4 linked regions of the Neurospora crassa OR74A genome follow. The protein of the gene in region 1 interacts with the protein of each later gene in a biochemical or structural test. Links are inferred from orthologs where the notes say so. Each region holds a gene or a part of one and is shown in the gene's direction. Other genes may lie near its edges.

Evidence for each region. The genes of interacting proteins can lie anywhere in the genome.
Region 2: the proteins of NCU02706 (region 1) and NCU06708 form a complex in vitro, tested with the Saccharomyces cerevisiae proteins (2 studies listed by BioGRID). The link is inferred for Neurospora crassa OR74A from reciprocal best matches to the Saccharomyces cerevisiae genes GOS1 and SEC22.
Region 3: the proteins of NCU02706 (region 1) and NCU08973 form a complex in vitro, tested with the Saccharomyces cerevisiae proteins (2 studies listed by BioGRID). The link is inferred for Neurospora crassa OR74A from reciprocal best matches to the Saccharomyces cerevisiae genes GOS1 and YKT6.
Region 4: the proteins of NCU02706 (region 1) and NCU03889 form a complex in vitro, tested with the Saccharomyces cerevisiae proteins (2 studies listed by BioGRID). The link is inferred for Neurospora crassa OR74A from reciprocal best matches to the Saccharomyces cerevisiae genes GOS1 and SFT1.

The regions. Positions count from the first base shown.
Region 1 is NC_026501.1:3,263,089-3,267,898, reverse strand, and holds NCU02706 (protein transporter GOS1), read left to right. Parts: upstream 1-2,043; 5' UTR 2,044-2,362; coding exon 2,363-2,434; intron 2,435-2,499; coding exon 2,500-2,613; intron 2,614-2,682; coding exon 2,683-3,180; 3' UTR 3,181-3,568; downstream 3,569-4,810. Other genes in the region: NCU02707 (60S ribosomal protein L6), read left to right, coding at 211-330, 595-930, 991-1,143; NCU02705 (F1F0 ATP synthase assembly protein Atp10), read right to left, coding at 3,807-4,494, 4,573-4,810. UniProt on the Saccharomyces cerevisiae protein: Involved in transport from the ER to the Golgi apparatus as well as in intra-Golgi transport. It belongs to a super-family of proteins called t-SNAREs or soluble NSF (N-ethylmaleimide-sensitive factor) attachment protein receptor.
Region 2 is NC_026505.1:4,347,980-4,351,175, forward strand, and holds NCU06708 (protein transporter sec22), read left to right. Parts: upstream 1-1,389; 5' UTR 1,390-1,551; coding exon 1,552-1,585; intron 1,586-1,702; coding exon 1,703-2,322; 3' UTR 2,323-2,696; downstream 2,697-3,196. Other genes in the region: NCU06707 (uncharacterized protein), read right to left, coding at 1-266; NCU06709 (hypothetical protein), read right to left, coding at 2,956-3,196. UniProt on the Saccharomyces cerevisiae protein: Nonessential SNARE involved in targeting and fusion of ER-derived transport vesicles with the Golgi complex as well as Golgi-derived retrograde transport vesicles with the ER.
Region 3 is NC_026503.1:4,097,510-4,101,137, reverse strand, and holds NCU08973 (SNARE protein Ykt6), read left to right. Parts: upstream 1-1,454; 5' UTR 1,455-1,896; coding exon 1,897-1,917; intron 1,918-1,975; coding exon 1,976-2,141; intron 2,142-2,206; coding exon 2,207-2,496; intron 2,497-2,553; coding exon 2,554-2,673; 3' UTR 2,674-3,128; downstream 3,129-3,628. Other genes in the region: NCU16686 (hypothetical protein), read left to right, coding at 1-336.
Region 4 is NC_026506.1:2,053,105-2,057,399, forward strand, and holds NCU03889 (SNARE), read left to right. Parts: upstream 1-1,495; 5' UTR 1,496-2,103; coding exon 2,104-2,238; intron 2,239-2,304; coding exon 2,305-2,466; 3' UTR 2,467-3,606; downstream 3,607-4,295. Other genes in the region: NCU03888 (DUF500 and SH3 domain-containing protein), read right to left, coding at 1-492, 551-654, 753-789; NCU03890 (stromal membrane-associated protein), read right to left, coding at 3,607-4,295. UniProt on the Saccharomyces cerevisiae protein: Vesicle SNARE required for retrograde transport within the Golgi complex.

The DNA.
Region 1 (4,810 bases):
GAAAACCCTACCGTTTCCGAGGTGGCCCGTGCGTTGCCGCCTGCCAAAGGTGAACGGTCCCGCAAAATCCCAATGCGGTTAGCTTGGGGTTTGGGTCTTCGTAACATGCACACAACCGGGGCCACTCCAACATTTCTAAAATCTCGAGCAGCAGTCAGGAAGTTGACGACGATTCTGCACTAACCTCACCACCCAGCCAAAGTCCACACAATGTCGTCCGCGGCGGCTCCCCAGACGAAGACCTTTGGCAAGGCGACCCGGACGGTCCCTCACTCGTCCGAGAAGGCCCAGAAATGGTACCCTGCTGAGGATGAGGCCCAGCCTCGCAAGGTACGTGCATGCACAAGTTTTCCAAGCGACCGGCGACGTTTTTGGCGAAGTATCGCGAGATGCACTTGGTGGAATTGCGGCCGGTTTGGCGGTTATCGATTTGGCGCGGAAATGGGGACAACCAGGGCGCAAGTGGAGGGCGGCAGCACTTGCTGCGATTTTGGACTTTGGACCGCAAAGTGCATGTCGTGGAGGCGACGACAAGAGGCGGACATTCCCAAACTCTGCGAATACAACTGATTCTAACTACCATGTTCTCTACAGGTCCGCAAGACCATCCGCCCGTGGTCTCCCCGCAGCACCCTCGTCCCCGGCACCGTCCTGATCCTCCTCGCTGGCCGTTTCCGTGGCAAGCGCGTCGTCCTCCTCAAGGCTCTCGACCAGGGTGTTCTTCTCGTCACCGGCCCTTTCAAGATCAACGGTGTTCCCCTCCGTCGCGTCAACGCCCGCTACGTCATCGCCACTTCCCAGAAGGTCGATCTCGCTGGCATCGACGAGGCCAAGATCAACGAGATCGCTCAGCCCAAGTACTTCACCGCCGAGAAGTCCAAGGAGAAGGCTGGTGAGGAGGCTTTCTTCAAGCAGGGCGAGAAGCCCCAGGTACGACTTGGGAATTCCGAGCTGGAACACGGGGCGCACAATGCTGACATAGTGATGCAGAAGAAGGAGGTTTCCAGCAGCCGCGTTGCCGACCAGAAGGCCATCGACAAGGCCCTCATCGCCAACATCAAGAAGGTCGAGTTCCTCGCCAGCTACCTCGCCTCTTCTTTCACCCTCCGCAAGGGTGACAAGCCCCACGAGATGAAGTGGTAGATTGTGGGCATGGGTGCTAGGGGACTGCATGCGGGTGCGGTTCGCGGTATGGCTCGGTCAGTTGCATTTGGACGTTGACGGTTCTCGGGTCCATTACGGCGTCTGTTATGAGGGTTTACAGTCATCAGGATGGTAAAATACGGCTTTCGGTTTGCAGAGGATACGGGTCACGAGCGAAACTCGAGGCATTGGGGACGCCCCATGACAATGTACAGGGGGCTCGTGAAGGCACTCGACTCTCGCAGAGAGCCTGTTCCTCCTGGTATCGCACCAAACCATGCGATTAGGGATCCGTCCAAAGAGCGGAAGATCAATACCTACAGATGCTATTTACTGCGCCTACCGCATACTCGACCATTGATATCCTTCGTGCGTTCTATGTGCGAAACTGCGTCTCTCATTGCGTCGGTGTATGTCTGCGAATCACACGTATTCAGTGAACAGCTACGACGACTGTATGGTGAGTCTTTGCGATTTATCAGCACTTTACAAAGCCCGTGTAAACATGGCTTGGCCCTTCTGTCATATGTCTTTCAACAATAGCTGAGGTATCTTCGCTCGCATGTCTATATGTGTGCTGATTAATCGTGTCCGCCGCGTCCAACAACTTCAGTGTCATCAACCGTGATGGTTATGAACTCGCGCCAACGTTCACGGCCGCAGTTGATGTCTACCACTGTTCAGACGGGAGAACGGTACGGTCCGCAGATATCTCGCGTGATAGTAGTTGTATGAACCTTGATGTCATGCTTGGCCTAGACTCTTGAGATGTGCATCAGCTGCCAGTGCCGAGGCGCTGACACCTGGCATAAGGTGACATGGAATGTATCGTCGGGTCCCCTACGTGGTGAAGCCCTATCTTCAGCTCTGTCGTTCTGCAGCAGCTCAGCTGAAGAGTCGACCCAGGCCGCTACGGTACAGTGGACATGTAACTGTGGCGCCTGCCGATACGTAACTGAACTTCTTCCACTAACAAAGCCACATCTCTGCCGTGCAAGCATCAATCATCATCATCACGACCATTTACGTCTGATCTAGGATCCTCCACCGGTTGACCTGTCCTGATCAACCTTACCACTACTATTACAGACAATTTTATAAATTCAAACCACATCATATTCTCCTCCCGCCAAGAGTGCCGCCTTCAGGCAACTCGGACGAATCGCATCCGTTGAAATTCATCGATCTTGCCCCAATAGCTTAGGAGCAGCACTGCATCATGGCGGCGACAACATCCTCAACCCAGGGCTGGGCCCAGTTACGACAACAAGCCCGATCGCTCGAAACACAAGTACGACTGAACTGGTCATGGGCCTTGGGAAATGGGAAGGGCATGAGACTAACATTTTCTTACAGACCGAAATGCTCCTCCACACATACGCCCAGTTCTCGAACCAGACCAACATCCCACCGAAGCCGACAGAAGAGGAAAGGCATACGGAAACGAGACTACGGGAGCTATTGGACAAAGTAAGTTTTTAGAGGTCAAGTAAAACTGTTTACATAAATTCGAACACTGCTAATACATGGTCTTTTCAGCGCGAGTCCGTAATCTCCCACCTCACCCGCCTCCTAACCTCGGACCCCTCCCCCTCAGCGCTCAAGCAGAACAACCTCTCCCTTCTGCGCGACAAGCTCTCGGACCACCGGCGGGACCTCTCCCGATTGCGGTCGACGCTCGAGTCGGCCCGCACGCGTGCCAACCTGCTAGGCAGCGTGCGCGACGACATCTCGGCATACCGCGCCGCCAACCCTGAGCAAGGCGAGGCCGACTACATGCTGGACGAGCGAGGCAGGCTGGACCGCAGCCACGATGTGGCCGACAGCGTGCTGAGCCAGGCGTACGCGGTGCAGGACTCATTCGCGTCCCAGCGAGAGCGGCTGGCGCACATCAACCGGCGAATTACTCTTGCGGCGAGCCAGGTGCCCGGAATCAATACCCTGATCACGAGGATATCGGCGAGGAAGAGACGGGATGGCATTATTATGGGCTCATTCATTGCGTTCTGCTTCTTGATGTTCTGGTTCTTCTCCTGAGTGGCGGTGGTGAACGAAGTGGGAGAGCGCTTCACGAACATGAGAGAGCGGAGAAATTCTGCTCAAGGACGGTTATGCGGCTCACTTCTTGTTGAGCGCATGCTATGGATCTTTGGAAGCGCGACAGGATCGCATCTTCCAGGAACCCTTATCGTAAGCGGCTGTACATGACACACTACTTCAGTGTCGGGCTTTCGTACTTTGACGGGAAGCATGGCGGGGATTACGGCGTTCAGGGGCGTTGCGAGGCAAGTAAGTGTGAAAGTGATTTTACAAAATAATAATATAATTTACAAACCCAAGAAGAAGTCCACGGCATTCTTGCTGGTTAAACCATGGCTCGTGGACGCATCTGCTGTAGACCAGACCAGAACAGACCAGAATTTCCCCGTTCGTCCGTGGTATTTTGAAATGCGCCCATCTCAGCCCCCGATGAGCCGACTTGCTTGCTCGTAAGCTCAATTAGCTTCTTCCCTGTAGCAGGAATTCGATGCTCAGAAACCTTGAGCTTGGCGAGCCTTGCTTTTCTGTTCCAGCAAAAGCTCTGTGACACGTCAGCTGGGCAATGGAGACTTTGTCACCCATATCATCTCAATGCATCTTTACGCCTAGGCATTCCGGGTCGCCTATTGCGCCGCAACAGACCCTTCTGCCTTCAACTCAGGGACAGCCGCTGTCTTCCGCACATAGTTCTTCCCAACACCCTCCTTGGTCATCTCGTCCAAAATCCTCTGGACGCCCTTGATCAGGCCCTCCTTCTCATCTCCCTCCGCATCACCACTGCCCGCCCATCGAATTCGGCAGTTATGATCCACCAGATACGTGTAGCCAACCTTGCTGTTTAGCAAACCAATTGACTCCCGAATCTCGTCCGTAATCCCCTTTGTGACCAAGAAATACCTCTTCCAGTCGTCCTCATCCACCTTCTTGCGCAGCGAGCCCATAAACAGTCTGACCAACCACGCCTTCATGGCATCCTCTTCAATATTGATCTGCACCAATTGCGCGCGCCCGCCGCTCTGCTTCAGGACCGACTGCAGGACTGGGTTGGCTTCGGGAGAGACAAAGGTACGGATCTGGTTCTCGGCCCACATGCTGCTGAAGACGGTGACGACGGAGCAGTGGCCTTCTAGGAGAGGTGTGGTGTCGGCGACCTTGGCCGCATCGTCCTTGGCGAGTGTCCGGCCATGCAAGTTGGGAAAGTACAGGGAAAGGTCGGCTTTGAAGAGACGTGGCGGCGCGAGGAATGTCTTGCCCTTGTGAAATTGCATGTTGCGCCAGTCGCGGAAGTAGGGGCGGGAGATTTTGGATTTGCTAATGTTATAGCGCTAATTAGTCAAGAAGCTGGGAGGAGGATGAAGATACATGGCCAATGTCGGGATGGGTTCTCACAGCATCTCTCGCTTCTTCAGATGTTTCTCATAGTTGACAAAGTCATCCCTCTTCTGCTGGAGTGTGCGCGTGTCGATTCCTGTGTTCTCTCCGGGATTTGGGGGGTTGTGCATGCCAATGGGCCTTGACAAGTGGGTTGGCGTGAAGGTATCGAGCGCCTTGCCGTAGGCTCTGGGCGCATTGGCTAGAGGGCCGGATTCTCTGAGGGATTCGATGGGCGACACGGGAGCCGCCGAAG
Region 2 (3,196 bases), on another chromosome or scaffold:
GCTGGTTCCTCGACTGCTGGTTCCTCGACTGCTGGTTCCTCGACTGCTGGTTCCTCGACTGCTGGTTCCTCGACTGCTGGTTCCTCAACTGCTGGTTCCTCGACCGTTGACTTTTCGGCTGCTATCTCCTCCAAAGTCACCTGCGCAGCAGTATCAATCTTTTGGACAAGGATAGCATCCCAGTCCCCACTCACGCTCCGGGGAGGTGAGGCCGGAGGAGAAGAGAGGACGGAGGACAGCGGAGAACTACTTCCTTCTTCAGCCATCCTTCAGGACACCTTCAGTTAGTCGCCTTTCTGGAAAGATAATTATTGCGTGTTGAAGTTGTTCAAGGAGTGATCGAACGCGGCAGTGTGGGTTTGCCGGCAAAGGAAAAATTACCGTCAAGTCAGATCTGGATCTAGACAGATCCGGAACTACTTAGTTGTTGTGATATTAAACAATACCAGATAGCAGAAACTGGCAGAATGGCGCCGTGAAAGTCACCGTTTGTCTTTCGTAAGTCAATGATGGTTCATGCGGCCAATATGGCTGTGGTTACATCTGCGAACAAACTGATGTCTGGTGGAAGGGAGGGGAGAAAGTGGGGGGTTTATAAAAGTAGAGAATGAGATGCGTTCAGGTGAAAATGTGGTCAACGAAACGAACCGAAGTGGTACTACCTTGAGTACAAGTTGACGCGCAAGGTTGGGAGGATGTGCGAGGGAACGAGGTGGAACTGAACTTGATCTAACCACCACTCTGAACTGGGAGGGGGATTATACTGACTGTGATGAATGATAGGTACCTCTAGGTAAGTAGGTAGATATTCCACCTCCAGCTCCCCTTCCCCGATGTTGTTCGGTTGAAGATGCTCCTTCTTCAAGTCGTTGTGTGATGGACAGGATGGGTGGGGATGGAAGCTGAAAGGCGCCAAGCCCGGGCAGCCACTTGCATGACACACCCCGGAAGCTAGAGGTAGCTTGTACATACTGCATAGTAGGCGTGAATAGCGGGCCGGGCGAGACTGCCTGCTCGCACTATTTAACTACCTAAACAAAACTAACTTGCAGGCCCTGCAGGGTGAACTTTCAACACATTTCCAGCGGCAGTACCGTCATCAGTGTCCCGTTTGACGACTTGTAATCCTTGATAAGGAAACACACGTTGGCCTGGCGAAATCATTGCATCACTCTACCTACGGGTAATGTTTTGTTTTCTTTATATAGCCATGTAAAGAAAAAAAAAAAACAAGAAAGAGGATAGCGAATTACAATCTGGTCTGCTGGTCGACAGGGAAAGAAGCATGCAATTGAACAAGAGAATTCGTCGGTGCGAGTTGGTTGCGGTACCTAGGTAGAAGCCACGTACCTGGCTGCTTTTGACGGATCACTCCCACTCGTCATCACAAGCTTTTATAAACCTTGCCTTGTTCACTGTCCTCTCCAACGACACCAACTTAACAAATCCAAGCACGCAACTGAACTGGCCTTGATTTCGAGTTGCACAACGATACTAAAGGTCGCCAAAAACAACACAATGAAAAAGGAGTGATATAACCTATTCTTCACAATGATCCGCTCAACACAAATTGCACGGCTGGATGGTTCGTGCCCCCCCCCCCCCCCCCCCTAACTAACCCCCTCGACCAACATCTGTGTGCCTATGGAGATGTCAATGTCTTGTCCGGTAGCTAACCAAGACCCCTCCCCTCAAAACACAGGCCTCATGCTCTGCGCTTCCGTCGACGACGAAGCAACTGAATCCTCCCTCAGCGAAGTCAAGTCCCAAGTCAAACTAATTCTGCGCCGCCTAACGCGCACCTCGGAACCGCAAGCCAGCATCGAGAGCGGCTCTCTCTACACGCTGCACTACCTGATTCAGTCCGACATCGTATACTTCGCCATTACGGACCGGTCGTACCCGCGCAAGCTAGCCTTCACCTACCTTTCCGACATTGCGGGCGAGTTCGCGACGACGCACACCCCGGCACAGCTCATGAACCCGACGCTGCGGCCCTATGCCTTTATGGACTTTGACAGCTTCATCAGCCGCACCAAGGCGACTTACAGCGACACGCGTGCGACTCAGAACCTGGATAAGCTGCATGATGAGCTTAGGGACGTGACCAAAGTCATGACCAAGAACATTGAGGATCTGCTGTACCGCGGCGACAGCCTGGAGCGCATGGGCGAGCTGAGCAGTAGGCTGAGGGACGATAGCAAGAAGTACAAGAGGGCGGCTGTTAAGATCAACTGGGATTTGCTGCTGAAGCAGTACGGCCCCTTTGCGGCGGTCGGTTCCATTATCATCTTCTTCTTGTGGTGGAGATTCTTCTTTTGAGTGCATCCCAGGCAGGGAGCATCACCGGTAGCGGGTTAGCATGATACCGTCGGGTGGGTTTCCTCAGTCAGCCTGGCTCTGTATGATGCTGTGACGGATAGCCTACGTGGATTCTGTAATTATTTTAATATGTGTTTGTAGGGCATTGGTTTTTGGCGCTTGACCTAGCATGGAGTTTGGGTAAAGGAGGTTGGGGGGAAAGGGGGGCAAACGCAAAAGGACGTTTGGCCAGGTGAGGTTTCAGCTATCAAGACATGTTGCTTATAGGTTCCTGCTTTCCACTCCTTCATCCGATGCCTTCCTAAAGCCTGACAAGGTCTCTATGGATGACTGTACCACAGTGTCACCGATGCTCAATCATGCGTATCTCCTGGTTCATTCCAGACCGGCATCTCTTCTGCTCGACACGCTATTTCTGTCAAGCGATGATACAAAATCTCCATCTGAGATAGCCTATCGGTCTCTTTCCCTACTTGAAGTAGAAGCTCTTGCCCCCCCAAACTCCAATTCCAAACCCGTTTTTTTTTTTTTTTCTTTTTTTCAATTTTGTTGTTCTCAATCCAGAACATAAACCGACACCCTGGACACTAAGCCCAAGCTTGAACCACCCGCACACGCACCCGCAAGCCTCAATCACATAATCAAACAACTCCCCGCCGCCTTTGGCAATAACGCCGGTATACTCGGCACCGGCAACGCCGTATGATACCATTCCAAATGCTCCTGGAAGCTGGCCAAGTCCTCGAACCCCCTCTCGTCCTGTGCCCACTTGACCTCGTCCTCGCTGTCCTCACCCTGGTCCACGTACGTGTATTCGTCGCAGTAGGGACACCATATCCTCGCCAGCCAATCGCCAGGGACGGGGGCAATGTGG
Region 3 (3,628 bases), on another chromosome or scaffold:
AAGCTGACCAGGGGGGACGAGGTCGCGTCGGGAAGGTCGACTTCGTCAATCAACGGAGCAGACGAGTGCGAGCCAAGCGAGCCAAGAGCGAACGATGGTTCCTGTCCAGGTTACGCCCGACTGCCCGGCAAGACGTTGCACCCTGGACTTGCCTTTAAAGCCAATGGGATTGGCTCGGCCCTGGTCTGCAGCAGCGGGTCCACCCACCCACTGCACTGCGAACCCACTGCAGAGAGTCTAGTGTCCACTGCGCTTCGTCGCCGTCCCAACGTCCCCCAGCATCCCGCCCGTTCCTCTTCCATCTCACAAGCGAACGGCACCGCGACGGCAGAGTGAGATCGCTGGGGAAACGAATGGCGAAGAGCCACAGCTCACTGGGCTTGTCCTAATCGGTGCAAAAAGCGGTGGAGCACCACAGGCATCGCCGGCGTCCAAATCTGGTGTAGTGTAGGTGGAAGGAGGAACCGACGCATGTGCCGGCCACTTCACGAACCCCCCCTGTCTCTTTCCTAGGCTTGTCTACACGACACTACACTACATAGTACACTACACTACGGCTTGGTTTTCCTCTTTGAGCCATCTCCTCGTCATTACATACACTACGACTACGGGTCTTGATGGTTGTTGTTCCATCAAGGTCAACTTTTGGTAGGAAGACTTCTAGCTTCACCAGTCTGACGATCTCTCGGCCAGAAGTTCATGTCCAGCTTTACATTATTGGTGATGTACAGACGCGTGGGCAAGGCGGTTCGATGGTCATATGTGTGTAGTTACATTTGTGCGACCATGAATGATATGTACCCGAAAGGCTTCGAGATCCGACACGAGGTGGAAATCCGCGCGGTGTAATATCCGGACCTGGTGGAGAGGATCGATGACTTTGTTCTCGAAAAGGTCATTCAAGGCATCGATCCCATCCGTCTGACTCGAAGGAGTTTTGCTCCATAGTATTTTATACTGGGTAGTCGTGGAATCATATACTATGTGCCTCATAGGGGTAATACTCGTTGAGAGGTCCGCGATCCCTTCCAGACTCGGAGCAGAGTGCATGTCAAACATATTCGCTTCGCGGGTGAACACTGTACACCAAAGACCCTTTTTTCGCTTCAGGAAACCTCGTTAGAAGCATGGGCCGGCGTTCCGCTTGTTCTGTTTGTGCTTTCTAATCACCTTCCACATCATCAGTCCGTCCCCTTGGAAACTTTTGTTCAATGTTCCAGGAAGATGTTCTTGACAAGTGCGATTGTAGGGATCTGAGTAGTCGTCTTAGTCGTCATTGCACATGTCAATCATGGTTGAACAAAAAGCAAATGAAAGGACACGGAGATGCAACAAGAGCCCGTGTTAGGACAAGGTCTTCCTATAGTAGCATTGGCACTAACATGTGCTAGCGGGGCGGTGTTTGGCCGACGCCCGCCTGACGGTGCTGTTCCAGCCCAGAGGGCATGGGTCTCGATGGCCTGGCCCAACAAGAAGCGGACGGCTGTGGTTGGCTTCGACACATCGCCATTCAGCCTCGAACAACAGCTTGATTCCATCGATACCTCATCGCATCGCCATTGCCGCCATCGATCGCGCGTCGTCTATCAAACCCCTCCCCCTAATCCATCGACAATCGTCGAGCCCGAACCACGACCGACACAGCGACGCGCTTCCTTGACCAAACCATCGCAACTTACAATCCATTAACCTAATCTAACGACGAACCCTACGATTCGGCAATTCCAGACCTCATTGCTCCCCACGCCATCACATCGGCTCTCTCTATCCCAACGCGAGACATCAACATCATCGTGTACAGTCAGGAACCATCAACAGCGATACTCGCCTGATTTGCGCCAAAGCTCTGAAACACGACCACAACAAAACCTCGGGGACGTTTCAAATACCGCTACCATGAAGCTCTACTACATTGGTGTAAGATACGGCTGCTTTCATAGGGGGTACAAGAAGGTACCTGCTGACCGCGAACAAGATCTACAAAAACACCGAGCAGCCTGCGGTGCAGCTCTGCGGTGCCCACGAGCTTAGCGACTTCTCCAGGTTCACACGAGACCAATACAAGAACTTCATGACCATGATCAGCAGGACTGTCGCAGAGAGGACGAAGCCTGGCCAGAGGCAAAGTGTTGAGGAGCAAGGTGCGTCTATGGTGAACTCTCTGCTCGCATACATGTGCCTAGCTGACTAGGTGGTGTCCGAACAGATTATATTATCCACGCCTATGCCCGCTCCGAGGGTGTTTGCGGTGTCGTCATCACCAAGGACTACCCTCCTATCGCCGCCCACAGTGTCCTTTCCAAGCTCATGGACCAGTTTCTCTCGGAGAAGCCGGTTGCCACGATAAACGCCGCCAAGAACGACGGCGACATCCCTTTCCCGGCCATCGAGCAGTACCTTCGCGACTACCAAGATGCCAACAACGCGAGCAGCATTGCAAAGATCCAGCAAGAGCTCGACGAGACCAAGATCGTCCTACACAAGGCAATTGATAGCGTATGTCCATTCACAGAGGGTAGCAATGCTCTATATAACATGCTAACCTAGTTTTAGGTTTTGCAACGAGGCGAGAAGCTCGACGACCTGGTTGCCAAGAGTTCCGACCTGAGTGCGCAGAGCAAGATGTTCTACCAGAGTGCGAAGAAGCAGAACTCGTGCTGCCTGGTTATGTAAAGATCGTTCATCAATACCAACCAACCACGCGCGACTGTCTTCGCTTTTAGTCAGCCGCACTGATATATGCCATCGACCGCAACGTTCCCCCTACCCAAATACAAAGAGCGACTGACCCCTCGTTGTCTTCGAGGCACTGGTGGGGGTCTCTTCTAATTCAGCTTTTGGTTTCCGCGCAGGTTGCAGTTTGGCTACTGACGACAGAGGGCCTTACAGTAGCCGCTTTGGATATGTGAAAGCCACTTACCTTGACGGCTTCGTGGGCTCTGAGAATGCTAAACTTCTAATTCAACCTGCAATATACCCTTTCTCATATTCATTGTTGTGTGGTACATACCCGAAACTGTGAAAGATTGACCACTGTTTGGCGCTAAAGCTGTGAAATACATACTTCGACTACCAGATGTAGGTAGTCCTGTTATAGATTTGTTATGTGTCGAACCCGAGGCTGCGCACTTATCTGAGAGATCTTCGCTCCGTTTCTTGCATACCCGTTAGTTTCATACGACATCCGCCCTCAAAGATTATGTGATGGGCCGACACAAGCGAAGCGGTCGGGTTCCCCAGTCACGACATTCGGTTGCAGTGATGACGACCTTGTCCGCCACGCCGTAGTGGCGTAAACTGTGCGAGTCGTAACTAATGTACACTATGGTATATTCTAGGGGTTGTTATCCCTCTCAAGCTAGCCCAGCCAAAAAGACTCTTTTGAAGATATGAATGGAAACGTTGAGATTCAAACTACAAGACTACGCAGCAGCATCAATTGAGCTGATCGATGATGGCGGCATTGCGTACGGATCTTCCTCCATGCCGATCTTATATCGGCTCCGTCGGCGTCTACTCATGTGCACTACAGACGTTGGATGCAAGCTGGGGTTCGAACAACATCATAGGAAACTGAGACTGTAAATGTGCGGGGTGGCAGAGGCGCTCCTACCTGATGTCGCGCCTT
Region 4 (4,295 bases), on another chromosome or scaffold:
CAGAATGCTGAGGAGAGGAGCGGCTTGCGGCGGGGGGCGCTCGGCTCCTGAAAGGAGCTCCTTGGCGGAAACCTGACGACCATAGAGCTTTGCATTGGCGTCTTTTCGCTCGATTATCATAGAACCTTCGAGAGACACGCCAGCAAACAAGCCCTTGGTCTTGGAATAACTGAAGATGCCCGCTACGCTTCTCAGCGAAGCGGCTCCGGCGGCCTCGGCATTTCTACCGACAGGCCCGGCCGCGACCGAAACGTTACCACCAAGTGTAAGTGACCCAGCTTGGGCGAAGGTTTTTACGGCGCTCGCGTCGTTGAGAATGAAAACGAAATCTGTAAGCTCGAAACCGATCTGACCGCCGAAGCCGGCACCACCCGTAGCAATGGCGGTGGGGGCAGACCAGCTGCCGTCGGGGAGGCGGGCGACTACCAGGCCGCTACCGAAACGGGCAGATCCGAGGAAACCAGCTTTGATGACGGTGAGTATAGCAAGACCCTAGGAGAACGTTAACCACCTGGTCGCTTTCGTTGAGGTTGCGGATGCTGTTTCGTACCTTGGCATTCGCGAGCACTGATGGCGGTATCACCTTGTCGGGACCAAAGGCTTGTTTGGGCTCGATGAAGGAGGCGAGGATTTTACCGCACTTCTTACATTCCGCTGGTTACAGACGTGTTAGGATGTCGGATTCGGCGAAGCGAAGGGGAGTTGCGGGGTCGGGCTCGCACAGCACGGGAACCCCGGGGACACAAACTCACACGAAAGTGACGACGGAAGAGGGTTGTTGATACCCATCTTGAAGTGTCGAAGCGGAACTCCCTATAGCGGACTGGCGCGGGTCTTGAAGGGCGAGGGCGTGTAGAGCGGCTGCGGTGAGAATGCCGTGGAAATGCGACAGCGACAGCGAAATATTAGAAAGAAAGAAAGAGATGGAGTTCGTCAGTCATTTCTCGGGACACTGGCCGATCAATGCCTGCAGGCACACTGGCAGGCAAGCAAGTAAGCAGATCAGCCCGGTCAATTTCTTGTGTACATAGTAAATGCGAGGTTGGTACCTGGGCGTCCCCACAACGGCGGTTTGTCAAGATGCTGGGGAGATCCTTGGGGTCACTTGTTGTTCGTGATGAACGATCTTGTTCCCGGAGGATAAGCCTTTGTGCGTGCTCTTTTGTTGGTGTAACTGTCCGTTTGAGAGTTTGTTTTTTTCCCTCTTCTTCACAGATCGGAGTAACTGATGAGCGAGGCTAAACAGTGGCATGGAATTCATCACAGTCAACATTTGAAATGGAAGTACTTGGAAATGGAAGCTGGAGCTCGTGCCGCGCGTCATGTGAGAACTGTAGCACTGGACCCTCAATCACTGGAGACGCTGGGATGGGCTTGGGCAAGCACTGCCGCCGTGGGCTGTGCAGTAGCGTACACTACTGTACCTCTACTTCTCTACTTTACTCCGTCCCTGCGCCCTGCACCTTCCACTTTGAATACCCGGGCCTTGTCCAGCGGGCAGAGCAGAGCGGGCGTTCGTCGTTACGTAGGTGACTGACTGACGGGACCCAAAGTTGCAGTGGCCCGACCACGAGCACAATCAAATGGCTCCAGCAGGCTCCGCTCCCCCCGAAAAAGACCCCGCATTGACCATGCATGTGCTTTACGCGCAGCCACACGTAAATGGCCGAAACTGACATCATTCGCGACTAGGAGGCCGTAGCTGTGGCTGGTGTATGCATCAACAAGCTGCAGTGAGCCGGCCGCCCCCATCATGATGGATGCATGATCCCGGTGTCCTTTCATTGTGACCCTGAACTGAGTGCATCTGGAACCTGCTACAACCTACCCCCTTTTGACATCCCCATAGCACTCAGCAATACCTAGGAACACCACGGCTTCACTCCGAACAACGGACGCTGCAAGACACCGAAGCCGACCCCCGCGCGCGCGACAAAATAACACGTAATAACATCTTCGATAATACGAAACTCGGGCCATATCAGCGAGTTCCAATTAACCCGATACTCAAAACTGACGAGTGAACCTCCCACACGGCCGCTGAGCGAGTCGCAACATACAACTACGACCACAACACAACCCCCCCCCATTACCATTATCAAGATGTCCGCAAACTACGAGCGCGAGCGCCAAAATAATGCGCGCCTCGACGAGCTAGCCTCCAAGGTTTCTGCCCTTCGAGGTGTAACGATTGACATTTACGACCAGGCGCGCAACCACGAAGTTATCGACCAAACGGTACGGTTCCTTTGATTTTACTCTGCACAAAATAACAAACTGACAAGTCCCACCAACAACGAACAGACCGATACCTTCTCCTCCATGGGCTCTCAACTCAAAGGTTCCGCCACCCGTCTAGGCCGCATGGCCGCATCGGGGAACAAGGTCGCCATTCTCAAGCTCTCGGGTATTCTTATTGGGAGCTTCCTGGTCATTTACTATCTTTATCGACTTTTTGTTGGTTAAATGATTCAAAAAGTCACGACGTGTGAGAGGGCTAAAGTCGTTTGAATATTGGGTCTATTGGGTCTATTGAACTTCGACATGCGAATACATGCCAGGAAGCAAAAGGAAGGGAGGTTCTCTTCATCGGGTTCACTACAACAACACAGGGCGAAGGATGTAGAGGGCGGCACGATTCGATTCCCGACAAATATCAGGAATGATAAGACGGATGCGTGCGAAGCCGGACATCAAGACAGGATGGAGCTTGTCCGGATAGCTTGTTGGATGTTGGAGTGCTGGTACAGGCGATGTGCAGTCCGCTTGCTCCCACAAAAGCCGCTACTAGTATTGCGCAGAGGAGGTGCAATGTAGGGTGGGGCAATGGGTGGGAGGGTAGCAGGTCACGCAGGACCGTAGGTCTGTGTTTTGGTGGATTCTGAACGAAGTGTGGATTTTGGTTTACAGACTGGGCTTAATGTTTTGTCTCGACAACAGACGGGTAGATGCAAAGGCATAGCAATGGCGTTGACGGTTCGGTTTTGTTTGTTTATTTGGGATTTGGTTTCTGCGTACCTTAGGTTGTCATTGATACGTCGTGTCGTATAAGCCAGACATCGACATTTCTCAGTCTCATCCTTGATTTTTCATTTTGAAACTTCAAGGACATCAGAAGGACATTAATGAGGGCAACACACACCTTACAAAAGATAGGAGGATCCTATATAAAAGTGCATTACTTTTGCCCTACCAACGAACAATAACTTGTTGTCTATAATGTAAATATGCCAAAACAAAACATGACTTGCTGATGTAAGAATGACTGCGTTGTTCATCATTCCCCTATTTGTCACGCATAAACCATCATTTGCCTAACTCTTAACTAGATCAGACTCCCACAGCATAAGTACGACATGGTGTTCGTGGATAGCATCCCCTTTCCAGTCAGGTGGTATAGAAGGAAAAACAAGTTCGGACGCTTGATGGGTTTGGTTTGGTTTGGTATAAGTTTGTCCGAGCTATTTCTCACATCACCTGCCGGTTGATTATATATTTACATGGTCGGCATCAGGCGCGAGGACAACAGCAAAAATCCCAGTAGACTGCACTCGGTTACCTCTGAACCCCATGTCGGAGATCCCTGAATTGTCGTTCTAAGGTTTCTTATTGCCAGACGTTTGAGAACAGGTCGTCACTGCCACCAAAACCGGTAGCCGGCTTGGATCCGCTCGGAGCAGCTGGTGTGGTAGTGCTGCTCATCCAGCCCCCAAACTCCTCATCGGCCGCCACCTTTGGTGCTGGGGCAAAGCCGCCCGAAGCGCTGGGGACAATAGGTTGGCTTGCGAAGGAGCCGCCGGTAGTGGAGGAGGTGGTGGTGCTGTTGCCCCATCCAAAATCGTTAGAAAGAGGGATAGAGGTAACAGGTGCTGGCTTGGGCGGTTCAGGAGCCGCAGGCTTGGGGGGCTCAGGGGCGGAGGCCCACTCGTTGGAACCCCATACACCTGCATCTGACCAGGCGTTAGACGTCGCAATAGAGGCAAGAGGGTTTGGTGTTGTTGAAGTAACGGCTGCAGGGGCCGGCGTGGTTGCGGCGGGCTTGGAAAGGTTGAATGCGGAGCTGAAGTCAGATGAAGGCTTCGGGGCGGCGGCCGAGGGAGGAGCGGTAGTAGCAGTAGCTGTTGTGGAAAAGTCAAACAGGTCACCGAGGGCGGAGGAAGCGGGCGCGGGCTTAGAGGCTGGCGCAGGAGGAGGGGTTGATGAGAAGCCCAGTGGGCTGCTGATGGACTGCTTGGATTGGTGGGAGGATGTGGCGGGCTTGGAATCGAAGAAGCTGCCACCGCTTAGGCCGGAAA